Linked DNA regions of Oreochromis niloticus. The protein of the gene in region 4 purifies or fractionates together with the protein of the main gene of each other region. This does not show direct contact. Links are inferred from orthologs where the notes say so. Each region holds a gene or a part of one and is shown on either strand. Other genes may lie near its edges.

Region 1 (7,779 bases), on a different chromosome or scaffold from region 4:
ATAATTATTTATTAAAAGCTAGACATTTTAAATGAGAATAAGGAGCAAAAGTATGTCTTTGTGCCCCCTTTTCCCTGTTAATGCCATATCGGCCCCCCTGGCTAAACTTTGCTAGATCCGCCCCTGCACAGTTACCAGCCGTCCGTCAGCTACGTAGAAAAGGATCCTGGTGTAGAAAGTAATATTAAATAAATTCTAACGACACCTTATCAAGGTTAAACGTGCTGCTGTTGTTCAGCCGCTGGTTTCCTCTTTCTGGTGCAAAGTGTGCCAAAAACAAAGAAGAGAGACGGACTCGCGACAGAAAAGCCGATCAGCTGATCATTAAGCAGTTTCATGAAGTAGCGGCAGGAGAGGGAGGGAGAGAGGCAGTCGCTCCATATATCGGTTGTTAAGCTTAACGTGGGAACGCTTTACAAACATTCAGAGATGAACTTACACACTTGCTTTACTTCTCTCTGGGATAACTTCCTCGGAGATGAAATGCTGGTTTGGTAGAGGCTACAAATACACACAGCCGCTCTATCAAGTGAGCACACTGCTCCGATGTGCTACGGTTATGAGCCGAGTTACACCGTGTCGCAAGTTTTGTGAGGTGCTTTTTTGATATTTAATGGATCGGATTACATTTTTTATTTCTGGCCGATATCCGATCCAGTAATTTAGGTCAGTATCGGACCGATACCGATACCTAATATCGGATCGGTCCATCTCTAGTAAAGATCAGGCAGGGCAACTAATTCAATTTTAATGTAAATTAATGTTTTGGCTTCCAATGATTATGAAAACCAAAATAACAAAGCTTTCAACCCTGCCAGAGGCTCAGACCTAGTTCAGCTCGAGCAAAGATGACTAAAAGAGATCTTTCAGCCAGCACCATCTGTGTTATGACATTTTTCGATTGTTTGACGGCCTATTATGAAGCCTTTAGCTGATTGTTTTCATAATTTTATAGCCCTTTCCCCACCTGCTTGGTTCGACATGGTTTCAGTCTGTAAACAAAGCATGGCAGACTTGACCACATTTTTACACTTTTCAGCACTTTCTGTTATTTCCAGTTGTTATAACTTGCGCATGGCGGCAGCTTTTCAGTTGCCAGCTAAACACACCACTAACAACAACAGGACCCAGTTCATTCTGCTTTTAAGCCGGTGAGGCGTGATTGCTGATGCCGCTCAGGTGTGTCCGCCTCCCCTGCAGCCACACTGCAGACCACGCCTTGCCACATACCCCCATCGCCTAACTGAGGCCGGGGAGCCATCCGGGCGAACCTATTCAGCAGCAGGGATGTATTGGTTCAGCTGTGTGGCAAGTAGGGCTGCCACGATTAGTCGACTAGTCACGATTACGTCGACTATTAAAATCGTCGACGACTAATTTAATAGTCGACGCGTCGTTTGAAGCTTTGTAAGATCCCAAAAGACGCAGGAATAAGTAGTAGTATTTAAGAGTGTAATAACGGACTGAAACAGAAGATGGCAGCACTGCATGTACAAGGATGCCAGCTGCCGTTAAACCCCGAAGAAGAAGAAACTGTGTTCCAGAATTCATAGCGCGGCCCAGCGCAGTTGTCAACAATGGCGGCAGCTAGTTAGTTTTAATATTACAATTATTATTCTTTCTGGGTCACAAAATAAACGTTTAACATATTTTCAGGTGTACATTTTACGTCCAATGGATGCATGATCTGATTAGTCGACTAATCGCAAAAATAATCGGTGACTAGTCGACTATCAAAATAATCGTTTGTGGCAGCCCTAGTGGCAAGTGCCGCTGGCGCAGCAGTCGTGGACGTGAGCCGAGGTTCGCAGGCGGCCGGCACGCAGGGTCCCACCGCACGCTGGCCTCTGGTAGAAACGAGGCAGGTCCAGCTGGTGCGCAGGTCCCTCCTGCACTCTGACCTCCGGCTCTGGCTGAGCAGGACTCTCCCGCATGCTGTCAACCAGCTCAGGCTGATAAAGTCCCTCTGGCGCCCCGATCCCCAGCTCTGGCAGAGCAGGTCCCTCTGGCACGCTGTCCACCACGTTGGGCTGAGCAGGTGGTGGAAGTGGAGGTTGCTCGGCTGCCCTCCTCCAGGGAACAGGAACAGATACAGGCACCTGCCGGGTACTAGCCACTCCCACCTGAGGAGTCCGTACTGGTGCGGAGGTAGGCTGTGCCTTGGCTGGCCTCACCCTGGGGACTGGCAAGGGGTGCCGGAGCAGAACGGACACCAGCCACTGCCATACGGTCGAGGGATGCCGATGGGGGAGGCGGCAGTGTCAGCCAGGACCCGATCCAAGCTGCCAGACTTGCAACAGCTGCATCCGGCACTCTGCGGTCCTGCAGCTGTTCCCACTGGCGGCGTAACACCGCCACCTGCTCCCTCCGCTCTCTCGCCCACCATTTGGTTTAGCACCAGTCGCAGTTTCGCCATGCCCGATTTCTGGGTTTTGGTGCCACTGTAAACGATGATTGCAGATGGCGGTCAGGTGTGTCTGCTTCCCCTGCACCTGCGCCATAGACCATGCCCTGCCACACAGTCATTTTCCATTACAATCAAGTACCATTTAGTGTGCATGGGGTCCTTATAGAAACGCAGCTGAAAGTCCAGTGACATCATTTGTATGCGACACAACACCACAACAATGGAGGACATCAAGACGTCGGTATACCTGCTGGTTGGTGTATGACTTTTTGTTTGGGGACTACGGTATTCTTTCTTTGTGCACCCATTCCCGTCATTGCGAAGTTTCAATAAGAGTGGTTTTGATTTTCAAAAGAGAGACTCTTTCATGACTCATCGAGTGATGCCACTGAATAGCCAGTCGGTAGCATGCAGACTGTTGATGTCACATTTTCGGATTGCCTAAGATCACGTGGAACCCCAGCTGAGTAGGTAATAAAAAAAAGTACCTGGTACTAGGTGCTACCACCTAGTGGAAAACCCGAGACGAGTAGGTACCAGTGGAAAAGGGCTATTTGTGTTTTGAACCTATACGTGATATGTGATGGATGGATATCATGGTGAGACCACACACTGAATAACAGCTTGTGATTCATGAGTTATAGCCTAAGTCCTTCTTTCTGACACTTACAATGAGTGTTTACAAAGTCATGGAGCAAATGAGCCAAGAGTTGGTTTTCCCAGAGGCTTCTGCATAGACAGAGGGGTATTTTGGGGGGGGGGTTCTGACAGCAATCTACTTGCCTTTGCGAGATGGGCTTCACTGTCAAAAAGACCCGCTAGTCCCGGCCCAACTCATTGTCAAATGAACCTGTGTCATGTTTATTTGATTTTCAGTTGAATTACATTTAAAGCTAAGAGAATCCACTGTTTAACAAACATCATGCAGTAAACATGTTCCTGTTGAAATAATAGGTTCACTCACTTAGATTTATACTCTGTTTAAAAAAAAAAATAAATGAATAAATATATTAGGAGAATATAGAATATCAGTGACATTCAGCAACTTCAGTTGACGACAGGTGAGCGATTGAAGTGTCTTACCAATGGGAGTGAAGGAGACCATTGACTGGCATGTATATTGGAGGGTTACCCACTCAGCTGGATATTCAAATGTCTCCTGGTGGTAAACTTTCAACTAGGGCTGGGCCATATCATACCGTTCACGATAATTCCGGTATAATGTTAGGCAATGATGAGAAAATGAAATATCGCGATAGAATATGGGTAAAACGCGCATGCGCAGTGCCTTTGCTTTCATACACACATGTCGGAAAAAGCATGGCAGCAACAGAGAATGAGAAGGGCGAAAGCGGATCGTTGTATGAAACAGATGAACCAGAATTGGTTTGTAAAAATGGTGCAACTTCAGTGGTGTGGAACTGGTTTGGCTTTCGTCCGTGAGATACACACCAAAGCACAATTTTTGGTAGAGCATGCCAGCAGGCCGTCGTTATTACCGTGTTTTTCGGAAAATAAGGCACACTTAAAATCAATCCTTTGATTTTTCTAAAAAAATTGACAGTGCCCCTTATAATCTGGTGTGCCTCATCTGTGAATTCTGGTTGTGCTTACTGACCTCGAACCGATCTTATGTGGTACACGGCGCTCAAAAAATCTGTCAAATGTTTTAGTACGACTTTCGTAAGTTACGAAGCCGTAACGCTTGATGGATTGTTGGAGCATTACAGCTATTGTAGTCAGGAGCCTCGCAGAGTAATACGTACTGTGCGTCAACATAATATTACCGTATTGTGTGTGTAAACCTCCTTTTAAGTTTTGTGGATATTATACATGGTTAAGCTCAGGATATGTTGGCCAGTTTCCACTGGAAATGCCTTTTGGTTAAACTGTCAGCAAGGAATTTGCATTTGCACTGTTAAATTTTATATAGCTTTATTGCACATAAAAAAACAGCTGCTTGTTTAAGTGAAAATACACTGATGGGTTTTTTTTTTTTGGTTTTTTTTTGGGTTTTTTTTTTTGCACTAATAAAGTTGTGGAGTTGTAAAGTATTTTGTCTCACGTCAATTATATCGTCAGTTTATATTGTTATCGCAGATTTTCAAATATATATATATACTGATAAATATTTTGGCCACATTGCCCTGCCCTACTTTCAAGTACAAAGCTTAAGACTAGAAAAGCACTATACAAACGCTAGGCCATTGCCAATTCCATTATTAGGTCTTTAGCTGGGTGAAAGGGGCTTGGCATTATATTGTACAGGTGTTTCTAATTTCCTCTTTACTTAGTGTACACTGGTTACATCTGTGTCTCATTCAGACAGGAGATGACGTCGGAGAACAGCCTTGGACAAATGTCGAGCAGTGCTTTGGGCTCCTGTGGTTGATTTTATATTGTCAAGATGAAATTGCCTTAATAAGGAAATCGTGATGCTGCCAAATGGTTCTGTGTAGCAGGCACACTTATGACAAATATTCTAAAGATTTCAAAAAAGCAGACACGCTAAAGCCCATGAAGTCATCTATTAAGGTAAAATAACAGATGTGTGGTATTGACTTTTTAAGGTGTATTGATACATTTTCAAATAAGATATATGGTAAAATGGTAATGTTTTTATTGATTCAAATTTGATATTGCATTGTTTACATTTTTTTGTGTCTAAGCCGTGCCTATTCTGAATATATGCATGTAACAGGTTTCATTTGGTCTTCATTGTCTTATAACATGGTCTATGCTGTTGTAGGGATTTTGTTGTATTTGTAGTAAGTTGTTGGTACTATTTGACCCCTGCAGCTGTTGAGCATCTTGATTAATAGATTTGTTCAGTGCACATGCTCACTGATGATGCACTGTTGTGTTATTGCATGTGCTATATGCTGAAACTAAAACACTCAGATATCAAGTTAAATTTGAGAATTTCAAAAACTCTACACAAGTATTTGAAAACTGTTAATAAAATTTGAAAACTATTAATCATATTCATCAATAATGAATCATGTTGCTTAACTGAGCAGCACCTCGCATCGTGGATTATGAACAATACGGTCTATTCTCGAAACAGATCCAGATATCCGGAAAACTTATAAATGTGCTCTGGATTATGAATGGTGCATGTTGTTCGATTTAAAATTCAAGACAACCACTTCAGTTAAACTTAAAATTAAAATGACAAAATGATAACTCATCCATCTATCAATTTTCTGCCACTTATCTGAAGTTGGGTCACAGAGACCTCCCTCTTGCCAGTCACCTCCTCCAGCTTATCCGGGGAACATTGAGGTGTTCTCAAGAGACGTAATCTCTCCACCGTGTCCTGGATCTACCCTGGGGCTGCTTCCCGGTTGGACATGCCAGACCAGAATACCTTACCCAGGGGATGACCGCCTTAGCTGGCTCCTTTCGATGTAGCGGAGTAGTGGGCTATCCTCAGCCTCTACCAAATGACTAAACGCCTTACCCTATAGTAAGGGAGAGCCCATCCACCTTTTAGAGAAAGCTCATTTTCCCTGCTTGTATCTGCAATCTCATTCTTTCAACTTTAAAAGAATTAATGACAATGATGTTAACAAAAAGATCAGGCCTAGAGTAATAGACTTATGGAATTTCTCAACATCAGTGCTCCACCTGGTGGCAGATGACTGCATAACATTTAGGACACAGCAGTTTACCGACATTGGGCATCAAACTACTAGTTCATCTGGTACTGACTAGTTACAGTAGCAACGATTAGTTCATAGACAACTAGTTGTGCACATCCCTACTACACCATACCATTGTGTTGCCCAAGATCCTGGGTCCAAATCAAATGGTCAGCTGTGGGCTGTCTGTGTAAAGTTTGTATGTTCTAGCTGTGCTTGGTGGGTCCTTTACAGGTACTCCTCCCACAGTCCAAAAAAATTCATATTAGGCTATTTGGCAATTAAATTAGCAGCAGGCTTGAATGTGAGTGTGAACAGTTGTCTGTGGGTTAGCCCTGGGACATAGACTTTATGACCTGTCCAGGTAGACTCTGGACAAGTCACTAGTCTATTCCTGTTGTCATGGTTGAGATAGGCTCCAGATCCCCCGAAAGCCTGTACTGGAGGATAAGCGGTTGGATAAGAAACATATTAGAATGTACTGTGTGACAAATAACAGAACAAACTGATCAGCTGCCTCTCCATTGAGTCTATCATCCTTCTGATAGACTTCAAATCCTCTCCAGACTTTGACTGCAGCTCGTTGTCATCCTTTTGCTCTGCTGTCTCAGTGTAGGAGCTTTACACTTGCTGTTGGCTGTGGTTTGACTCAAAACATGAGCCAGGAAGCAACATAGCTAGGTGTTTAACAGTAACTAAACTTTCAAAATAAGGGCTACTGTCCACTATTGATTTGATCACAGGTGGCCTGGTTCTCTCGGATCAATAAAAAATGAATGTTTAAACGTCTCACTAAATATACTTGAGTAGACAGCATACTTTGAACGTTCTCTGAAACACAGTCTGTGCAGTAACACTGATTAGTGTAAAGGCATCATGGTCCACTTGAGTGTGAAGAAGCTACACGTGCCAGATGCTTTTTGCATAGCTGACTTATAGCTGTCTGGTTAACAGTCCCTGCCTTGTGGTTATTGCCAAGGTGTTGTCACACTTTGGCAAGGTATCTAGCTAGCATTTTCACAGTTTTTATATTAGAGGTATTTTGCTAGCACTGACATCGGCAAGCAAGTGATGTTTAACCAGAGTCCCTCTTTTGCCACTTGGCAATGCCCTTAGGCAATTATTTTGAAGCATCTATCTAGATAAAGGGGGAGAGATGTATAACTTTTAATTCACAGGCATGTACAGAGTTTCATAATATTAAAGCTTTATTAACACTCTGTTTTCTGCCTTTGGCTGGTTCATTGTCGTTGTGACAGACCTTGATATAATTCAGCTATTTCTCTACTGAAGATCCCAGGTCTGGTATACTTGATCTCAACCAGGACTTTATTTCTAGGACTGAAGCTAGCAACAGTAGTCCTTTCTTCTCTGGAGGTCAGCCAGAAACGAACACAGTGAAATTAGTGTTTATCAGCTTTTGGAGAGCAGTTAAATTCTTTATCTGGGTAGTTAGTGTAACATTTTCCTGTGATGTGACCATCTCAGAACATAAATTTATTTCTTGTTTAAAATACCACACTGATGACGTCTTTGAGATTGTCTTTATTATTTCTCGGATGACTCTGTTTTACTTAGCATTAACTCAATGTAAATAATTTAGGCTTAGCAGTCTCTTTTTAGGATTTTTAACTACGGGGTCTTTTCAAAAACACATTTTTGTTATAATGGATAATAATAGATTTATCCTGGACAGCTTTTTAATGAAGGCTTTCTAGGACCCAACAA
Region 2 (7,832 bases), on a different chromosome or scaffold from region 4:
TCTTGACACATCCCTTTGTCCCCACTGTACATCGTTTAAACTGCACAGCCTGAGTATTGTGGATGACCACATTCACGCCTTTATGAACACAGTGTACCCACAGTGTGATTAAAGTGCCATGCCACAAATCTCAGATCAGTTTCTCCAGCATGACAGAAGTTTACTGTACTCAGATCGTCTCCACAGTCACCAGATCTCAATCCAATCTTTGGGTTGTGGTGGACCAGGAGAGCTGCTTTGTGGATATGCAGCCATCAAATCTGCAAACTGTATGATGGTAAAATGCCAGTATGGACTGTTTCCAACACCTATGCTAGAATTATGACAGAAAGCACAACAGGGTCCCAGTACTAGCAAGGTGTACCTAATAAAGTGTGCATAGAGTGTAAATGCTACTAAACAACTGACATCTGAGCTCCATACTGTAAGTTTAAATATTAGAATACTGGCTCACCTCTGTCAGCTTCTGCACCGTTGGCATTTTGCTTCTAAAAGGAAACAAACTGCCGTGAGTATGGCTGGAAACATGATTGTAACTGTAAATGATGACTTTTTCAATAAATCTATCACCTTCTTGGCTTTCTTCTCAAGTTTCTCCTTCCTGAGTCTCTCCTGAGATGGTCATTAGCAGAGCAGAAGTGACGTGTTAGCCTTGAGTGAACAGGTGCAAAAAGTCTGTACGGTCCAAATTTTACACCATACCTCATTCTGTTGTTGCTCCATTTTTGTCAGCAGAAACTTTGAATAGATGTTGCTCTTCTGAAGCAAATGCTGGAGCCTCTTGAACCGCATGTCATGCGAGTCCCTCTCCCAAGACTCCCTGGCCTTATGGGAAAGGTTGAAAGCAATTACATTAACATGAGTGGGCTCGAAAGCGTCCAGCACATCAGTGATGTAGAAACATCTCAATTGTGGCTCATCATCACATGAACTCCCTGATCTTGTGGACCGGTGAGCTACAGACACACATCTATACGCTTTTTACTCCCTAAAATCTGTACCAGCATCGCACCCACACAAACAACCCAACTAAAACTAATGTTTTACTTTTACTAATGTTTTAAAACTAATGAGTTTAATAATGAGAAGTTATTAATTTCAACATTTAATCTGATAAAATATGCCAGTTTTGGATAGTTTAAAAAATACAACTCCCACGTTGAGAAATTAAACGACATACCTTTTTCATCATCTCCTTCTCTTTCCTCTCGCCTTGCTCCATTAGCTTCTTCTCTTCTTCCTCCATTTCCTTAGTAATCACCACTTCAGGTGTTATTCCCTCAGACTTCATACTCTCATCTTAAAAAACAACAACAACACTGACAGTGACACGACCTGAACAAGTCTATGTGCACAGCATCTTTTCAGTAACACAAGTGTAAGATAATTAGCCTTTACTAGTTAATGAGCATGTGATATGGAGCCCTGTTCCTAATGAACTGGCCACATCTCATCAGTGTCACCTGAGAATTAAGCAACATGACAGCAAAGCACATGCCTCATCAAACTGGCTCTATCTCAGCTTGCTTTGCAGCTCTGTAGGTCAAAAATGGAACTTACCTTCAGTAGCACCAGTTTCAATGGCTGTGCCCAGCGGCTCCTCAGACTCGTCAGGTTTGGGGCAGTGAGGGGAGACACTTCGAGTTTCTTCTTTTAGGCTATCAGCAGAAAAATGAAATCTACTCAGTAAAACTTTTCCTGCCATTTTTCAGAGGTGAGTAAACACCATTTAGACCCTTCCTAGGCCCTGTAACCGAGGTGAAATGATACATTTGATTTGAAGGGATGAAATACAACACGAGTATTTCAATACTCTGCATATAACTTTGGTGCTAAGCTAATGTAGATACTATACTTTACCATACAGGATGCAGTTTCAGACAGTTTTTCTGTGCTGTCTGAAACGTGATAATCGGTGAACATCTGTGACTCAGAATATTGCAAGTTGTTGTTATAACTTCTGGTTAATTAATGGTGATAAAAAAAATCTTCCAGATCGCTGCAGAAAAGGGATGTATGCTATTTATTTATTTTTTCTCTGGGTGGGAGTTGTAAGGGTGCATTTGTCCAACACACGGTGGCCTTGGTAACAGTAAACGTGCATCGAAGCTTTACAGAGAAGAAAATGATACTTTATCGGAAATTGTAACTATTATGTTAGGAACGAGGAGACTCAGGGCTGCAGTATTACAGCGGGCATACTGCCGCCTTTGCGTTCACCTGTACAGGTCTTTGAGCCGAGTTATTACAGTGCACGTATGCTCCACGCGTCACACATGTGTCGCGTACCTCTCGAGTTTTGTTACTGGCGCGAGTGTACGATCGTGTCGGATTTAATGATATTCCAGCACAGCAGCTCAGAGACATACACATATACAGAAGGAGATGTTGGCGTAGGTGAAAACTTTAGTGGGTTTTTTTTGGGGGGGGGGGACACTGGACAAAGTCTTGGCTTCCGGTCTTGCATTCTCCTAAAAAACGCTTAGTGTCTGAGGGGCGACACCTACCGACGCATATCGTTCAGAGCCGTACTGCAGCGACTTCCTGCACCGTAAATAAAAGTTTCTGTGAAACGCGGTAGCTGCGGTGAGTGAAGCGACCATTACACTTACCAACTCATCGTTGTTGGCAGCGATGCAGACAGTCCAAATTATGCGGGTTCTTCGAGCTTTCTGTGAAGCTTTTCAAAGCGTTCCGTTTCTGCTCAAAACAGCAGAGCTTCGTCAATTACACAAGCAAGTTATCCAAACAGTCATACAACTCACTCTACCTAGCCTAGCTGACTGCTTGTATTTATGATAGCTGTGCAATGTCGGAGCAGTATGTCCGAAAATGTTCCTTTCTCTAAAACGTGAAAAAACATTCAACGAAAAGAGTTTGACGTGAGTACTCTGCAGCCCGAATAACGTGTTTTTTATTAAGCAGACAGAAATATGAAATGTACTTCCGACAGCAGCCTTTCAAACAAAAAGTGCGTCCGCGAAAAAGCTACGTTGAAGTTACGATTGTATTTTATTTTGAAGGCAAATTCATCTAGTTTCCGCCATTTGTCTCTACAGTCCTGAAGCTAAGATTTTTATAATGGGCGGAGCTTTCCAATTTCGCGCCATTTCGGAGGAAACCACTATTTGTGAAACGGGGTGGTGTGTGATTTAAGGTAGAAGATAATAACATTTTGGTTCACATTAATCGAAACGTAGCAAAAAAAAATTGTAATTAATTAACTAATAATTAAAAGGTTGTCTGATTTATACATTACAGAATATCGTATGTATAGACAAAACTATTTTAAGAGGATGGTCACCCCTCTGAGTGGAAAGATGTTTTATAACTGATGTGATTTTTCCCGCGAATGTAAGGCTGTGCAGTGAGCAAATGACAAAAAAAAAACCTCTCTCTCAGTCGGGAAACTAGACGGTTGCTTGTTTGCTGGCACCAGCTGTTTTTTATTAATAGTTTTAATCCCTCAGACTCAGGATTAAATAGAAGCCTTCAACAGTAATGATGGGAAATATTTTCTGCAGAATAACTGTTTATTTTGGATACAACCTGTCCATAATACATTGTGTAGTGAAGTATCTTCATAGTGTTTTAGCTATTCTTTTGCAAATGGAATGGTTTGCAAAAATATCCTCCACAACCTGTTGAAGCCGCTATGGTTGCCTGACATCCAAAACCAGGCCTCCCTACGCCTGGTTCTGCTGGAGGTTTCTTCCTTTTAAAAGGGATTTTTTTTTCCCTTCCAAGGAAAAGCACTTGCTCACCTGGGTCGTCTGATTGTAGGGTCCTAACCTTACAATAGAAACCACCTTGAGGCAACTGTTACTGTGACTTGTCACTATATAAATAAAATTGAATTTAAAAATTGAATAGTTGTATGAAACCAGTGACTTCAAGAATCAGGATTGGCCCTTCAGTTAGCCATTCAAGGTGTGTGTCATACATTAGCAGCTGGTTCATTTGTGCTTTCTTTAGCCAGTAGGTGTGAATCATGTCAGGACATGATATGATTTATACTCATTTATACTCACTGCAATGCAAATAGTTATAATTCTGAACAGCCCTCAACTGTTTGTATGACCAGCACCTTTTTATTAATGGTTAAGAGCATGAAAGTTATGTCTCTGACTAATTCATGCTGCAGACTTCAGATAAGTGACACAACCATGTAATATATACTCATTATTGATGAGCTCGGTATAAAACAGCAGTCCACGTGTAAATATTCAGCTACCCCAGGCTGTGTTGTTTTGCAGCCATACTGAAGTGGACAGTAGCTTTCAACACCATTCTTCCCTCAGTTCTGAAGGACAAGCTGGAGAACTCTGGAGTGGACCATCACCTCACAGCATGGATACTGGACTACCTCACCGACCGACCACAGTATGTGAGGACTCAGGGCTGTGTGTCGGACAGGGTCGTCTGCAGTACGGGGGCCCCACAGGGAACGGTTCTGGCTCCGTTCCTCTTCACCATCTGCACTGCAGACTTCTCCCACAACTCCACCCAGTGCTTCCTGCAGAAGTTCTCTGATGACTCTCCAATAGTCGGCCTTATCACTGATGGGGACGACAAGGAGTACAGAGGACTGACCCAAGACTTTGTGGACTGGTGCCAGCTGAACTACCTCCAGATCAATGCCAGTAAAACCAAGGAGCTGGTGGTAGACTTTCGCAGGCACAAACATCCTCCACTGCAACCACTGAACATCCAAGGTATGGACATTGAGGCTGTGGACAGCTACAGGTACCTTGGTGTTCATCTGAACAACAAACTGGACTGGACTCATAACTCAGACGCCCTCTACAGGAAAGGGCAGAGCAGGCTGTACCTGCTGCGGAGACTCAGGTCGTTTGGAGTGGAGGGCCCACTCCTGAAGACCTTCTATGACTCTGTGGTGGCCTCTGCCATTTTTTATGGTGTGGTCTGCTGGGGCGGCAGCATCTCTGCTGGGGACAGGAAGAGACTGAACAGGCTGATCCGAAGGGCCAGCTCTGTTCTACGATGCCCTCTGGACCCAGTGGAGGTGGTGAGTGACAGGAGAATGGCGGCTAAGCTGTCATCCCTGTTGGACAACATCTCCCACCCCATGCAGGAGACTGTGACAGCACTGAGCAGCTCCTTCAGTGGGAGACTGCGGCACCCACGGTGTGGGACGGAGAGATTTCGCAGGTCTTTCCTCCCCACTGCTGTCAGACTTCACAACAAAGACTTCAACTGATCAAACACACACATCCACACATGTGCAATAACACTAATGTGCAATACTCCTTTCTGGCATCGTTGTATTTTTACTCAGTTGTATATAGCATTTGTATTCTATTTTTATCTTATTGTATATTTTATTCTACTGTATATAGTATTTTATTTTATTTTATTCTATTCTGTACAGTTGTGTACTATATTTATTCTTATTGTATTCTAATTTTTGCTTCATAACTTTTGCACTGTCCACTTCCTGCTGTGACAAAACAAATTTCCCACGTGTGGGACTAATAATAAAGGTTATCTTATGTTTAACATTCACACAAAATCGCAGCATACAAAGATTCCTGGATGAACACAGCAACTAAATCCCAAACATAATTCACTTCATCTATCAGTGGCGGCTGCAAATATAGGCGTTTAATTAAAACATGTTTAGCCATTACATATAATTATACCTGGTGACACTGCTCCTGTGTAAATAAGCAGCTGATAAATGAACTTTGGTCCTTGAAGGTCTGACAGTTTGTGACTAGAGGCTTTAATCTGCATTGCTGCAGGATTTAGACCTGAACTAAACTTTCAGAGATTTACAGAAATCAGCAGACTCAATTCTGAGAATTTAGAGAACCATTTTAAGTTTTTATCTCCTACTACTGTAATTATCCTTTTCTCATTTTCTTGTTTTTAACCTTGGTTACTTTTGTTCATTTTTCTTCCATTTATCTTATTCTTTCATCTGGATTATATTTTGTTCATTCCCATTGTGCTTTTGAAATCCAGCTATTTCCCTCTTCATGTAAACTAGCAGTCAAAAGTTTGGACAACACCTTCTTTTTCTTTATTTTTACTACTTTGTACATTGTAGATACATACTGACGAAATCAGCTATATGAAGCAAGATACATGGAATTATGTATCAAAGAAAAAATGGATAAATAACTAAATAGATAGAAATATGTTTTATATTTTAGATTCCTGAAAGTAGCCACACTTTGCTTTGTTGACAGCGCTGCAAACCCTTTGCCTTCTCCCAATGAACTTCCTGATGTAGTCACCTGACATGGTTTCACTTCACAGGTGTGCCTGTCAGGGTTCATTTGTGGAATTTCTTGCCTTCTTAATGGAGTTGGGATCATCAGTTATGTTGTGCAGAAGTCAGGTTGGTAAACAACTGACAGGTTGAGAGATTCAATCAGCTAAGTAAAGAGAAACAACAGTCCATCATGACTTTAACTGAAGGTCAGTCAGTCCTAAAAATTGCTAAAACTCTGAATGTGTCCCCAAGTGCAGTTGCAATACCCATCAAACACTAATAGCAAATAGCTGCTAAGCTATTTGACCATAAAACCACGACTAAGGAAAAGCAACTAGCAGAAGAGATTTGTTTGGGCCAAGAAACACAAGGAGTGGACATTAGACCAGTGGAAATCTGTGCTTTGGTCTGATGAGTCCTGGCCTCCAGTCACCTGACCTAAACCCAATGGAGATGGTTTGGGATGAGATGGACCGCAGAGTGAAGGCAAAAGGACCAACAAGTGCTCAGCATCTGTGAGAACTCCTTCAAGACTGTTGGAAAACCATTTCAGGTGACGACCTCATGAAGCTCATGGAGAGAATGCCCAGAGTGTGAAAAGCAATAATCAAAGCAAAAGGTGGATATTTGGAACAATCTACAATATGAAACATGTTGAGGTATTTCACACTTTTCTGTTTACATAATTCCATCTGTGTTCATTCATAGTTTTGATGCCTTCAGTGAGAATCTACAATGTAAATAGTCATGAAAATAAAGAAAAAACATTTAATGAGAAAGTGTGTCCAAACCTTTGACTGAGAGTGTATATTATCTTGGATTTTTCTCGCCCCCCCCTCCAGAGGGACAGCTGAACCACAGTTGAGTCTGCAGATATTGCAAAGTCTGATCAGAAAGGCCTCAGTGTTCTTTTCTTTGCCGAGTATTTAAAATGACATGTTTTAGGGTTCAAATGCTTCAGCTCAGCTAATATTAACTGATGCTCCAGGGGTTCAGGCTACAGGTTATTTCAGGACAGCAAGTGGAATTCCTTACAATTTATGTGCATCCAGCGACACACACAATGACCATCGTGTTGTGACTTCTTCTTATCCAGAGTTTGTTTCAAACTGAATCCAGTCGCCTTTATTATGAAACGAACATTGTATTTTATATATGCAACTCAGTGTTCAGTATTGTGGTTAGACGCAGAAATTTGCAGACCCTGTGTTATCTGACAGCGGATATGCCATAAAACTTAAATAAATACACTTTTTTTTTTTTTTTTTTTTTTACATCTTACTAAAACTCCCAGACACATCCTCCCATTTCATACAGTCCAGTAATACAATATTTATTTTCAATTTAAGTGTTACATTTTGAGCAACCAAGTTACAGTTGTCTTCAGCCACAAATTTAATGCAGAGAAAGTGAAAACTGTTTCAATAATGGTTGGAACAAAACAGAACCAAATCTGATTTTACAGATATATACATAATGTTTATGTACATATACTGTTACACTACACTAAAGATGCTTAACAGTTGAGACACTGTTGTGCAGAGGTTTGTGAGAAAACCTGGAAAAAAAACAAAAAACAAAACAAACACCT
Region 3 (7,067 bases), on a different chromosome or scaffold from region 4:
TGTGTATAATTGCGCAGCAGCTTTCTTTGCTTATCTAGCATAGATATAAATCTATGACAGGGAGAAGGTTCAAACTGCCCAGGGTAAATCTCCTGTAATATAAAATTATGCATTCAGTACTTGTGAAGAAAATGCAAACATTGCTATAGTCATATACCCCCACCATGGCTTTTCTGGACCATATTTAAACCCTTAATAACTGTTCATATTTCATGCCTCATAGTATGGCTTGAATATATTTTATAATAATAAATGAGTGATCAATCTTTAAAACAATTTAAAACATTTTTCAGGGTGCAGTATTAACTGACTTAGAACACAATATATATACAAAATGCTTATTGCAAACTAGTCTGTGCATTCAAAGCAGTGCTAGGAAACCTTGCATGTGTGGGACTTCCACATCAGTTTTCCACACTCACTGAAATGGCAGCTCAGGTCCTTTTGTAATGTTATGACCCAACCCATATTATGAGATCTGTTTTAATCTCTATTAGCTAATACATACAGCACTTTATTCAGTGTACTTAATTGCAATTTTATTCATGAAGCACATTTATTAATATGTAAACACAATGTGCTTAAGAGAGAAGATAAAAACATAAAATCCTGTGTAAGTTTACAAGACACACCCACACAGCTATTGAACTTTAAGCACTTTTTTCAACCAGGAAAAGTATTGCTGTGAGGCAACAGTGCTACCCACTATACCACGATATGCTCCTGTATATGGACCGCCTTCCCACCCTATTACAGATATTGTGTCTGTGATAAGGGACCCTCTGACTTCTGTATAGCCTCTGTTTTTTTGTGCATCTTATATGATCACTCCTATGTTCTTTTACTATTTTACTGTTTGGAGAATTCCCCACGATCTTTTAAATTTCCCGTCTCTGCAGGGGCCTGGTCAAATGTGGTGGGAACACAAACAGTTCTTGTGATAAAATTTTAAGTTACTTTCGGAAAATTAAACAATTTCAAGCTAAAAGACATATGTTTTTTTTTTCTTTACTGTTGCCAAATGTCAAAATGGGTCAAATTTAACTGAACATTATGTTATGTTTAAGTTAACTTAAAAAACAGGCTCTGATTCTCCATTTAAAAGTCAGTGTAAACATGGGGGTGTGGGGCACCGTATTAAACAACATTACAAAATTTAACAGGAACTCAGAAGCGGCTTACATTTAAGTAGTTTCCCTTTATTATATTTTCTAAATGTCAACACCCTTTCACAGAATGAAAGTGCATAATCCTCTAGTCATGTAGACCTTGCAGTGGTCTACATGAAGAGATTTATGGTTTGGATTAAGATTATTAATTCTTTGTTAGGGAGCATTCAAATTGTTATTCTATTGTTTGTGTAACACCAACCTTAGCAAACTTAAAAAACGGTCTAGGGTCCCGTCTGAAGTACTCAATGTCAAACATAGCTTGAGGATCTGGAAGATCTGGAAAATCTACAGCAAGCCGTGCATAAATTCCATCTCTGGAGCGGAAGTCTGGTATTCCACATGAAACTGAAACCTACAACAAATAAAATAAAAATAATAAAGAGATGCAATGAACACTAATACTAAAAATCGAATTTACACAGTAGAGCTACATGATAAAGTAAAAAATGCATACCCCAGCACCAGTCAGCACTAGGATCCTTTTACTTTCATGTAGTAGCCTGACCACATCTTCTAAGGTATTAATATCTTTCCGCTTCTTTCTTTTTGGAGGCTCTGAGATGTTGATGATGATCTGCCACAATGTCATGTCATCTAAATCTGGTGGGAGTACAGTCTCAGGCAGCAAATCCCTCAGGATGGCCCTTGGATCTGTCTCTCTAATGTGCTGCTGGATGAAACTGTAGGAACCTGCGAGCAAGAACATAACATCTCAGTATGGCTGGATTTCCAAAACACACATACTTGTGCAATGCAAACAATTATTATGTGGTTTAAATATATAGATAAACACTAAATACATATCATAAGTGGCGTAATCTAAGATACTGTAGTTTATTAATGATGTTAGTTACCTATTTGCGGTTGAGGAGTCCAGTCGCTGGAGCTTGCATGTGAGGACCTGTCATCGTCTTCAGTGATGTGCTCTGGAGTGACAGCCAAACCGTTGGAGGGAAGATCATCGTGCCCAAGAAAATCTAAGTACAGACATGGAGAAATTTAACTAAATATGACTAGATACAAGTCGGGACTCTCTTTAATAACTGCTATGACCCGTTACAAAAGTAAATCGGTGAAAACAGCCTCTCAAAGTGAACTTTCAACCGGCTAACAAACGCCAAATTGCTCTCAAAGTTTTGCGTGGTTATGAAAAAGTTAAATGGACAAACTTGTGCTGACAGGATCACTGATAGAGAGTTAGCGAAATATAATTTAGTGGAAAAGTTCCCGTTTTTAGGAGTACAGGAGTTCTCGACACCCACACAGCATTACTGTATTTAACATTAGCTAAGTTAACTGTTTCACATGGAGCCAGTTAGCTCACCGGTTAAGTTGGCAAAGAGAATTTTTCTCACTGAAAGTCACTCAAATACTCAAAGTTTTTTTTTCTCTTTTTTATACCTGGACTGTCCTCGGTTCCGCCAAAGACAGCGGTGTCGTCAAGTTTCCCCACTGGCTTGTGAGTCTCGGAGAGCAATACTTCCAGTCCATTGTTGTCTCCGCCTAGCGCTGCCGGGGCCTGTTCTACCGCCATCACCGGCTTCGCTTCCTTCTCCGCGGGCTGCGCACAATTCAACGCCGCCTCCCAGCTCTCAGTTGCCGCGGAGACGCACGAGAACTGGTCCGCTTCGACGGCTTTCAGTCCATAGTTAGTCCCTGGACTGATTTTCGAAATCTTAGCGTGAGGTTCCCCCGTATCGGAGGCGCCCGAAAAGGCCGTTTTCAGACTGTTCTCTCCGTCCGCCATCTTCAGCCCGCAGAGCCGCTGAGCAGGAGCCTTCCTCTCGGACAGCTGGCTCATTTGCATAGCACACGTGACTCGTTCTCCACCAGTAGTCCCGAGCGAAACGCCCCCCTCTACGTCGCTGACATTATACCATAACAAATATTGTTGCCTTCAAGTGCTGTCGGATGATTTCTAATCATAGGTTAGCCCTCACGAATCTTTCAAGCCTTTCGGTGATGTGTTTCGCGTAAATATAAACGATTTTATATTGACGTGTAGTCGTTGTAAACTTAATTAATGCCCCAGTTACAAATCTGTCATTTTCTTTTTTCGTTGCCACACAAGCCTTAAGTATGTGAAAGAAATTTAGTTTTACTACATAAAAATATAACATTTCTAATTTCCTAAAGCTACCATTGCCTTTGTTTCTTAGCCAGATGAATAAACGAATTTTCTAGTAAGCAGGACCATTATCAAGACCCTTGAATGCATCATACGTCATACGGTGAAAAGGGGCAGCTGGGCTCTCCCAACAACTCAGGAGAGATCTCCCTTGAAAATTTCAACAGTTTAATAATCCCTGAAATCTAACGCTAGCTGACAAAACCATACTAAGACAAACTTTGCTAACAGTTAGTAGTTAGCTAGTTGGTTATAGTGAGTGAGTGAGTGAGAGGGGGAACCCTTTGGCAACCCTTTAACTGATCAGCTGTGATCACGTTCAGCAGCATTTGTGGTCCGTTAAAAGAAGCCATACGTGCTTCTCCGACAGATTTTTATGGAGGCTGTTTTGAGCTGTAAACCTGAGGATTTGGAGGATTACTACGGGTTACTGGGATGTGATGAACTGTCATCGGTAAGTTCTGGTCAGTGGGTTTAAGGCTCAGACTATTTGCTGGGTTGCTGAACGGATATAGTCTCGATCTATAAGTCAGTAATTATTTAGGGAGAAATGGGGGTTAAAAACATAAAATACTACATGAGACATCAACGATCAATAGCCTGTACACTGCTGAGCCAAAAAATGTAAAAATAAAAATGTATGTGTGCCTCAGATTAGGCTGAACCAACTGAGACCTGTTGATGTGAAACTAGTCGTGCGTCATCCAGTGTCTGCCAGCCAGCATTTAAATTCATTTGTGTATAACTAGATTAGATATGGAATCAGTGTGATTTTTTTAAATGTATCTTACTAAAATAAATCTTTGATTAGCAACATCAACACACATATCCACTGCGGTCTTGTGATCGCCAATTTTCACTCAATATATTACTCAACAATCAGCAACAGTCATAGACTGGCAGAGCTGAGGGTCTCAAATAGTCAATAACACGGTCAAGATAACATCGATCTGATTGATTAGATCACATCAGACTATGAGGTTTGTTTTGTTTTGTTGTCCTGCAGACCGAACAGATTCTCAATGAATACAAGATTCGAGCCTTGGCATGTCATCCAGACAAACACCTCGACAGCCCAAGAGCAGGTAATGCACACACACCACTAACTGTGTGTGAGTCATATTTCATATAACCTTTTTTTCATAGACCGAAGCAATAAAGTAATACGAAGTGTGTTATTACCGCTTCAATGCCTCTTAATTCACACTTTTCTTACATAGCTAATGTCTGTTTCTGACATCTTAACTTCAAAGCAAATAATGCTAATAGAGGGGATGCTTACAGCTGTACACAGTGAATTGTTTTGTTTAATTTTTAATTTTATATTAGAACCCCTTTTTTTCTGTTGTGAAAGTGGCAGATTTCCAGAAGCTGCAGGAAGCCAAAGAGGTTTTATGTGATGAAAACAAAAGGAAAAACTATGATCTTTGGAAAAGAAGTGGAGTTATGATCCCATTTCACGACTGGCAGGCCTTGAACGACTCAGTGAAAACTGTATGTAATGTCTTCACTTTGGATTCTTCAAAACACTGTGCAATCATTGACGCTTAAAAAACCTGCTAATCTGTTTACAGTCAATGCACTGGGCTGTGAGAAATAAGAAGGAACCAATGTTGGAGGCCTCCAAACCAGAAGACCCCATCACGTCACAAGCAGAGAGCTTTCACTGTGAGCAACAGGAAACGGGGAAATCTTCGTGTGAAAGCACGACATACTCAGGTAACTGAAATTTATTCTGATTCTTTAAAGCAAGATGTTGCTGGAGAGCAATACATAACAACACACAAAATACAAGTAAGGAAGTGGTCAGTGCCATAGGATCCTTATTTTTGAAAGTCAGACGTGAGAAACGTTTAATTGATACCAGTATGATAGACGTGATTTGGTGTATTTTCGATCTAATTTCACTGCAGAGAGGCAATGGATATTCAGAGCAGCTGCTCAAGAGCTTCTCTGCTCTTATATTAACCTCATGGAATATAAAAGTAGGAGCTCTTTAGTGCTCATATTAAAGAGGGGCTGCACGCCCACCCAGTGTTTTGTGAGGTTTTGCATTTTGCACTTCAAAGCTACCACTTTAAAGCACTGATTTCATTTTACTTTGGTTATAATTTCAGGTTCAGCAATTATTCACAACTTGGCTGTGAGACCCTGTTAGTAGTTTCCTCTTAGCTAGCTTTTAGCATCAGTCTTCAGGGCTGACAGGACAGGGCTGTTTTCCTGAGATTCTACAGAAGCTCGCTGTGGATTCCTTTTTCCTTTATAATACTGCCACAAAATGTTTCAAATATTTGCCGCTAAAGAGCACTGTAAGGACTTTGTTCCCCAACTAATTTTTAGAGTTAGAAGTCAGTCATAACCTCTGGGATAAACACTTGCAAGTCAGTATTACTATAGCTGAAACACAGGTATGATTATGGACTTTCCTCCACAAGCATCAGTACAGCTTATAGTCAAGCCGAGTACACAACAGGCTTGAGTACTCAGTGAAGGATCTGAACTGTTCCTCATGTGAATTTCTTCTAGAGTAAACAGCAGCTGTTTAAAAAGTGCTGAACTGCTTAAAGGGAAGTGAAGTGACTTTTTTTTTATCATTGCTGCAGGTGATTTCTGCCATCGACGCTTCCGCTGGGCTGGTGACTCTCCATCTAATCTGCTGCGGAAATTCCGAAATTATGAAATCTAAATATATTAAAACTTTCATGTTGTCTAAGTGTTGCTAGACTTGGGACCATTTTATTGTAATGCCAGCTTTTATAGAGTATGTTTAGGTGTTGTGCAGCTGTGACATCATTAACTGTCTCACTGTTGCAAAGCTAACTGTCAGGTATATGTTATGTTTGGCTAAATACTTTAATATTAATATTATTTTTCTTGCTTGGTGTGTACCTTCCCTACAGTTTGTTGTAAAGACAGCATTCTGGCACCAAATTGCTTCCTCATTTTTTTCTGTCATGTTTGAATTATTTAATGTGTCGTCACTAATATCTCCTCATTCAGGTGAATGGGAGGGCTATAGAGGACTAATTAACCACCAGAAAAAGAGAGCCAGAAAAATGTTACTTCAGCTATCATTTTACCACCGAATCATAAGAAATTTGTCTTTTTTCTTACAATGTCTCCCTCAATGTCTTCCAGATGTATACTTTGTGATCTGGAGACATTTGAGTGAGACGAGTTCCATCTAACTGCCCAATAGACTTATATGAAGTCTATAGGCAGTCTATTGCGCAGTGAGATGGAATACATATATATGTATCTCTCTCAGTAACATACAGTGGAGGCATGATTGTGCGTGATCTTATTGTTTGCTGTAATGTATGTGTGTTTGTATTAGTATTATTCTCTGACTTCTTCAGCTTTGTTTGAGGCCAAACTAATTCTTTGAATAGAAGCCTTAAGTTTTCCACAATTGTGTTTTAGTACAGCATATTTACACCCACCCTTTATCAGAGGGAAGTCACAACTTGTGGTCTATAGCTAAATATAATATGTTATTTTGTAAAGATATAAAATCACTTATTGTTTAGTTTGTTTCACTGCACTGTCAGAAGACATATATTTTAAATGTTCAGTAGCAAACCATATGAAGTGAACACAGGGTTTCAAATCTTTAAGGTGGGAGTCGGAATCAAGAAAAAAGACACATGATTGATGTTATGTTTTCTGGTGCTCTTGCTAATATAAATATGGTTAAATATCGCAATTAAAATAAACAATAATAATAATAAAAAATAAAGATTACCTGTAAAAGCAGCTGTTAAAAA
Region 4 (7,018 bases):
TCTGCCCTGACCGGGGGCCTGCCATCTCCGGTACAGGAGGCCGTCGTGGGTCTCCAGGTTGTTGTGCTGGGAGTAGTAGGCCTTCACCTCGGGCTCCTGACCCGACACCCCCGTCCAGTCTGGGCGTTGCGCCGCCTCCAGCCAGGCCCCCACCTGAACCAACGTCGCGTCGGCCTCCTGCTCCCGCTTCAGCTGCTGCATTGTCAATGGGAGCCACCCCCCTCCGCTGGCTGTGGCCTGAGCAGTAGCCACCCCCAGCACCTCCTGGGCCCGCTCCTCCTGTTGCAGACAGTAGCGGCACTCGACGGCCATGCAGGGCCGTCTGGAGAGGGCATCAGCGTTGCCATGCTGCCGACCTGCCCGATGCTGGATCTCAAAGTCGTAGCCCTGAAGGACCTCCAGCCAGCGGGCCACCTGACCTTCTGGGTGTTTGAAATTCAGGAGCCAGGTCAGAGATGCATGGTCAGTGCGCAGGAGGAACCGGCAGCCGTGCAGGTATGGCCGGAAGTGCCGCACCGCTAGCACTACGGCCAGCAGCTCCCGCCGGGTCACGCAGTAGTTGCTCTCGGCTCGCCCCAGAGCACGGCTGAAGTATGCCACCACTCGTTCTCCAGCCTCGCCCTGCTGGGAAAGGACCGCCCCGACTCCTACATTGCTAGCGTCAGTGTCCACAATGAAAGGTTGCCGGGCGTCGGGGTAGGCCAGAACTGGGGCTCTGGTGAGGGCCTCCTTCAGCTGTGCAAAAGCCGCAGTGCAGGCATCACCCCAGCCAAACAGCTGGCACTTGTCAGTCAGGCGGTGGAGGGGGCTGGCCATCATCGCAAACCCCTTGATGAACCGACGGTAGTAGGAGGCTAGGCCCAGGAAGCTCCGCAGTTCTTTGACGTTCGAGGGAGTCGGCCAGTCCCTGACCGCAGCCACCTTTGTGGAATCGGTGGCGATACCTTGAGCGCTGATCACATGGCCCAAGAACGTAGTCTCTCTCGCCAACACCCGGCACTTCGCAGGGTTGAGCCGCAGCCCAGCTCGACGGATGGCGCTGAAGACCTCGCTCAGGTGAGACAGTGCACTGTCGAAGTCGCCACCGTGCACCAACAGGTCATCCAGGTACACAACACAGCGGCTACGAGGGATGTTCACGAGCACCCTCTCCATCAGCCTCTCAAACGTCGCTGGCGCATTGCAAAGCCCAAATGGCATGACCCTGAACTGCCACAGCCCCTGTCCAATGGTGAATGCAGTCTTAGGCCTTGCTTCGGGGGCTAGCTCCACCTGCCAGTAGCCACTGCGTAGGTCGAGGGAGCTGAACCAGCTGGAGCCGGTAACGTAATCCAGGGCCTCGTCGATCCGTGGAAGCGGGTACGAGTCCTTCTTGGTGACTGCGTTCAGACAGCGAAAATCCACGCAGAACCTCAGGCTGCCATCCTTCTTCACACCAGGACTACGGGTGCCGCCCATGGGCTGTTGGACGGCTCGATCACCCCAGCCGCAGCCATCTCACGGATCTTTTCCTCCGCCACCTGCCGTTTGGAGAGGGGCAGCCGGTGCGGGTGCAGACGGATGGGTTGAGCAGAGCCGGTGTCGATGGTGTGCTGGACCAGCCCCGTCTGCCTGCAGTCTTTGTCACTGGCGGCAAAGATGTCCACATTCTCGTCCAGGAGGCACCTCAACCGCTGGCGCTGGTCAACGTTGAGACCTACGCTGCTGCGCTGCCACAGGTCACCAACAGCCTCGGTTGTCTCGGTCGAGGGAGATTTGTCGGGCTGAGAGGCCGGGGCTGAGGTGAGTAGAGATGACCCGGAGCCACCAGCACCCGAAATCTGCTGAGCGGCAGCCGCCCGACGCCTGTCTCGTCTGGCTCTGGTTCCCTCTGCTCCCTGCTTTTGACCGCACTGGAGGGCAAGAGTCTCTGTGCCAAGAGTGATAGCCCGCTTTGCGGTGTCGACGCAGGCCCCCCAGTGGGTCAGCAGATCAAGGCCGATGATGCACTGGTCTTGAATGTCAGCAAGCCAGAAGTCATGCACCAGCTCCAGATCCTTCACTCGGACCCGCAACGGTTTCTTCCCCCGCATATCAGCCCTCTCACCCGTCACCGTCATCAGCTGGGTGTCGGTGGGCGACCAACCCTTCACCAATGGCCCGGACGTTCCAGGGAGCACGCCAGGTCGTATCAGGGAAATGGTGGGGCGAACATCTCCTCCATGTTTGGGGGGGGCACCTGCTGGTTAGGTTGCGAGGTGAACACCAGCTCGGCCCTCTCAGCCTCAAGGAGCGCCTCACAGAGAGTTTGAGGCATGGCCAGGCGGACGTGTTGGCATAGTCGCTCTGGAAAACGTCCTCGCAGAAAAGCATGCAGGCTAAGCTCCTCATGGGCTGCTGCTGGGAACTCCGGGTAGCCACGACGAGCATGCAGCAACACGTCCACTGCAAAGGTGCCCAGGCTCTCCCCCGGCCGACGGCTCCGGTTGGTCAGCTGCTCTCTGCTCTGATCAGTGGAGTGCCGCTGCCCGAATCGCCTCTCGAGTGCTATGGTGAGGGCCTGGAGCTCATGCTGCTCCGACGGGGCTAGGTCAAGGAGTACCTGCAGTGCATCTCCTTCCAATGCTAGCGCTAGGTGTGTAGCAGCCTCTTCGTCGCTCCAGACATTATGCCTCGCGGCTAGCCGTACTTGTGAGAGGTAGGGCTCTAGCGGGGTTAGCCCGTTGTATTTCGGTACCTTAGCTGGCGTTGCAGGCATCACTGCTCGCTGTCGGGGGCTCGGTGTGTCGGTCGACAGAGGCAGCCCATGAAGCATTGCCCCAGCGTCTGTCGCGATGGGCCGCCGCTGCGGTGCGCTCGCGCCGTCGGGACCCGTCGGGGGACTTACATGGCTGCTCGCTTCCTCTCTCCTCGATCGCCAGCTTCCCAAGCAGCGGATGCTCTCCTCGACAGCTTGCTCCAGCCTCCGAATGTCTCTCTCCATTATGGCGAGGGTGAGCAATCCCACTTCTGACACCAATGTGGCGAGCTCAGACACGGAGGAGACAGAGGTTTCTTTGGGAGCACCCGTTTATTTACAACCGGCCCAGAACACTGCCGCTACCTCCCTCCTCAGCGCGGCAACAACAACATAAGAACAAAAAAGGCGCTCTCTCCCCGAGAGAGCGCGTCACTCATCACTATGACAACAGAAAACAGAACTATAATAACAAAACCCCTTAACAACCCTGACCCGCTACAATATCAATATTTTTTTTAAAGTAAAAATGTCTGCATTTGGAAAATGCAGGGGCAGTGGAGCAAAAAATTTACACACTACACATATAGTCATATATATCAGAGATTTCTACATTGGCATTGATTGCGTTGTATCTGAACAGTACTGTACAGGATTACCGGTGCACAAAGAATTTGGAACCACTTATGTCAAGCTATGAGAGGATTCTGTCTGCCATGATTTTCTTTAAGTGGACATTTCCCCAACTTTCACTATATAGATATATAATGTTCAGATATCAGACTTGTTAAAATGTGGTCTGGTTCTCAAAAGCCTTCCACTCAGATATAGCTCCATAACAACACTTTAACTGTGGATAAGAAGAAGAACTGATTAGTACTCTTGTACAACCTGATAAGTTAACAGCCCCAGCTCTGCCTTAAGTCCATGTGCAAATCTATACTGGCTTTTTTGATATTACTCTCTTAAAATTCCTTTAAAGCGCAGAATAAAATCAGGGCATTGCCCAAAAATGACTTTTGTGATATCTAGCACAATGCAGGAAATCAGAAAATTCTCTCTGGGATAAATATGCAACCAAACCAGGTGAAAACTGGAGAAAAAAAAATCTAATTCTAATTCTATTGCATGGTAGTAAGAAATTAATTAATGTAAAGGATAAAGCGGTGGAACTGAATTTTATGAAGCGCGTTTTTACCATGTTTCACACATCCTTGAAAGTCCATTTTACCATACTCTGGGTTGAGTGGGACTCCTCGCGGTGGGGTAAGTGGCCTACCGAAGTTGTCTGACCCGCCCCTCCCCGCCGAAGTTGCGCCTCCCATTCACCGACTTTCCGCCGTGTGTAGTTATGTGTTGATGCCGTCCATCCCATCTTCTGTCTGCTCAAGCACATTCAAACCAACTTTTTATTTCTAGAGGAACTTTTAAAATGGCTTACACGACCGCAGGTGGGACAAAGAAGAAGGTCTGCTACTACTACGACGGTATGGGACATCCTGAGCGTGTGAATGGGGAGCCCAAACTGAGCCATCTGGCAGGCTAACGCTAGCCAGCTAGTCAGTGTAGCTGCTGGTGAATGGTGAAAATAACACTAGCAAGCTAACGAGTAGGCGCTAATGACCAGCGTTTGAAAGGTCTCCGCGGTGCAAAGAGAGTATTCGTGTGTTAACTGTTAAAATGAGTAAAAGTTTTAAAAAATCACCTTACGTAAACCGAGCCAGAGAAAAGAGGAGGGCTTCGGTTAAATTAATGTTGAGAATTAGCGACACAAGCATTCATTGTCACGATTGTATAACTTTGTGCACGGGCTTTGTACACCTCGTTACCTCTGTCAAATCAAAATGATTAGGAACTGATGAGTCGACGTCAGAGTTACATTCGTGAAAATAATAAAGCAAAATGTGCCACTGTTGCACACAATTAAGTGCTCAGGCCTTATTAGAGCGTATCACCGTGTTGTCTAACATCACACTATCTCATAAGAGAAACCACTTATTTGTATTCCTCGTGTACAGGGAACATAGTTACAGTGTCTTGTCAGAGGTTTGCAGAGACTCGCAGTAAAAACTAACTTTGTTCACACATAGCCCTGCATTCAGTTTACATGTACTAGAACTCAACCGTGCATTCAGTTTTCCTCTGAATGTTTAACAGTCAAATGCTGTGTTATTGTTGTTTTTATGTTGCTTTTTATGTCTCACTAAACACAACAACCCAGTTGTTTTTTTCTCTTTTCTACTGTCCGTGCTATTCCTCTGAGGTTGCATTTGCTCTTGCACCCGTGTACTGGGTGGTTGGCTACAGCCTCGTGAACTTTATACTTTTTAATAATATTGGCAACTGAGATCAGGAGTTCATTCATAGTCTGAAGAAGGTGTAGTGAGCTATTGTAGGATAACTGCATGTGCAGGTAAAATTGAAGTAAACATCACTGTTTGACCTGCACAGTCTTGTGATCTACTTCTTGGTGGTAAGCAAACATAGTTTTCCAGTTACATTAAAAATGCTTGAATGATACTTATGGTATTACACCGTGACTGATCTTGCTGTTGTTGCCCGCTGTTGTTGTTTTGAGAAAAACTCTGTTCGCTTTCCTTTTCTGTTATTTGCTGTTCTAGCATTATGCTTGTGTCATGCTAGTTGTTAAGTTAGCAGCCACAGAATATCTCAAAGATTTAAAACAGCTAATACCTTAACATATGGGGGTTTTATTTGGTCTTTTTGTTTGGTGTTTGTGGTCACTATTAGAACAGGAACAGCCAATAATTAAGAAGGGGGAAAAAAGAAGCACAGTGCACACATTTTGCATTTTGTCAATTTTGATGAAAAATACAAAATGTGCTTTTTTATAGAATATGTAAATGAGTGACTGTGACTTGGAGTGTAAAATCTCTTTTGTTGGTCAGAGAGACCCTGAAAAGCATCCATTTTTATTTTCATTCACAGCTTCAATTAATAATTATTATCGGATGGAAATGTGTTTCTCATCTCGTTCCTTTTGTCTTTGCAGGTGACATAGGAAATTATTACTATGGACAGGGGCACCCCATGAAACCACATCGTATCCGGATGACCCACAACTTACTTCTGAACTATGGACTGTACAGGAAGATGGAGGTCTATGTATGTTTTCCAAGCATGTGACACTAAGCATACCGTAAGTTCTGGCCTTCCTTGTTGTAGTTTCCACCCAGCTGGTTTGTCTTGTGTTTCAGAGGCCACACAAAGCCACTGCAGACGAGATGACAAAATATCACAGTGATGACTACATCAAGTTCCTCCGATCCATACGACCAGACAACATGTCAGAGTTCAGCAAACAGATGCAGAGGTGTAAGTCATCGTGTCCTCTTTGGGACATTACAGAATTTTGTAAACTATTCCAAGTACGGAATACAAGGAGCTCCTCTGCTCTTCTGTTTCCATTCATACTGCTCAAACTATTTACTCAGCCAAAGAGTGTAATTGTCTGAGATGTGAACACTGAACAGTCAGGAAGTTGTGGAGTTTTAGGTTATGGTGTATGAGTAAGAAAGTTCTGTAGTAGGAATTTTGAACACCTTCCTGTTTTGGGGTTTCCTATTTATTTATGTATTTATTTACTCTGCAGTCAATGTTGGGGAGGACTGTCCGGTATTCGATGGCTTGTTTGAGTTCTGCCAACTGTCTGCTGGTGGTTCAGCTGGTAAGTTGTGCTAATGATGAATCAGATGTTGCTAAGCGGTCATATAAAAGGTCTTGATAAGTCAGTTGAGTCAAGCTATCTGAATGATTATGTTAGAGATATACTGTAAAATAGATACTCAGATCCTAACTGATACTAAAACTGATGATCGGATTAGTTACTCATTTATAGCAGTATCAGTGCCCACAGTGCTGTCTTTGCCTCTGCCAGCTGACACACTACTTCCCACAGAGCCACAGCAGACAAGCAGGAACATGCACCACGTGATGACATTCACAACACTCACAATATTTTGTGAGGAACATCAGGAAGTCATAAACCTCCTGTTTCAGCGACATTGTACCTATCTGTAACAACAGTCCTGCCTATTTGTAACATTAATAGACGCTGTCAATTTAACAGAATAACACAATTATTTGTATCTAAAAAGTCTTGTGGTTCTCAGTCATTTCTACATTGTATTTGGAAGGATAATATTCCTAGAGACATGACTGTCATTGGAATAACAGGTCAGGATTGAATCCCCTACAAGACCCTATAATAATGAATACTAATCTTGTTTTGCGTAACTTTGTGAACCACCTTTGTAATCCTGAGGATTTGGTGGGACTCCT

What was found.
Region 1: the proteins of histone deacetylase 2 (region 4) and ehmt1b purify together in Homo sapiens (affinity purification with mass spectrometry; 3 studies listed by BioGRID and IntAct, with this or other methods). This does not show direct contact. The link is inferred for Oreochromis niloticus from reciprocal best matches to the Homo sapiens genes HDAC2 and EHMT1.
Region 2: the proteins of histone deacetylase 2 (region 4) and hells purify together in Homo sapiens (affinity purification with western blotting; 3 studies listed by BioGRID, with this or other methods). This does not show direct contact. The link is inferred for Oreochromis niloticus from reciprocal best matches to the Homo sapiens genes HDAC2 and HELLS.
Region 3: the proteins of histone deacetylase 2 (region 4) and sirt1 purify together in Homo sapiens (affinity purification with mass spectrometry; 3 studies listed by BioGRID and IntAct, with this or other methods). This does not show direct contact. The link is inferred for Oreochromis niloticus from reciprocal best matches to the Homo sapiens genes HDAC2 and SIRT1.

Annotation. Positions count from the first base shown.
Region 1 is NC_031972.2:31,100,124-31,107,902, reverse strand, and holds the start of ehmt1b (histone-lysine N-methyltransferase EHMT1), read left to right. Parts: upstream 1-4,762; 5' UTR 4,763-4,852; coding exon 4,853-4,942; intron 4,943-7,779. UniProt on the Homo sapiens protein: Histone methyltransferase that specifically mono- and dimethylates 'Lys-9' of histone H3 (H3K9me1 and H3K9me2, respectively) in euchromatin.
Region 2 is NC_031978.2:31,195,227-31,203,058, forward strand, and holds the start of hells (lymphoid-specific helicase), read right to left. Parts: upstream 3,019-7,832; 5' UTR 2,621-3,018; coding exon 2,613-2,620; intron 2,003-2,612; exon of another isoform or gene 1,861-2,002; intron 1,659-1,860; coding exon 1,561-1,658; intron 1,300-1,560; coding exon 1,181-1,299; intron 826-1,180; coding exon 703-825; intron 613-702; coding exon 571-612; intron 489-570; coding exon 455-488; intron 1-454. UniProt on the Homo sapiens protein: Plays an essential role in normal development and survival. Involved in regulation of the expansion or survival of lymphoid cells. Required for de novo or maintenance DNA methylation. May control silencing of the imprinted CDKN1C gene through DNA methylation.
Region 3 is NC_031978.2:25,306,135-25,313,201, reverse strand, and holds the start of sirt1 (NAD-dependent protein deacetylase sirtuin-1), read right to left. Parts: upstream 3,022-7,067; 5' UTR 2,980-3,021; coding exon 2,574-2,979; intron 2,150-2,573; coding exon 2,027-2,149; intron 1,863-2,026; coding exon 1,627-1,862; intron 1,525-1,626; coding exon 1,372-1,524; intron 93-1,371; coding exon 1-92. Other genes in the region: dnajc12 (dnaJ homolog subfamily C member 12), read left to right, coding at 3,677-3,754, 4,307-4,385, 4,655-4,794, 4,875-5,019, 5,904-5,986. UniProt on the Homo sapiens protein: NAD-dependent protein deacetylase that links transcriptional regulation directly to intracellular energetics and participates in the coordination of several separated cellular functions such as cell cycle, response to DNA damage, metabolism, apoptosis and autophagy.
Region 4 is NC_031980.2:30,566,488-30,573,505, forward strand, and holds the start of histone deacetylase 2, read left to right. Parts: upstream 1-4,009; 5' UTR 4,010-4,148; coding exon 4,149-4,203; intron 4,204-5,729; coding exon 5,730-5,842; intron 5,843-5,934; coding exon 5,935-6,052; intron 6,053-6,329; coding exon 6,330-6,404; intron 6,405-7,018. UniProt on the Homo sapiens protein: Histone deacetylase that catalyzes the deacetylation of lysine residues on the N-terminal part of the core histones (H2A, H2B, H3 and H4).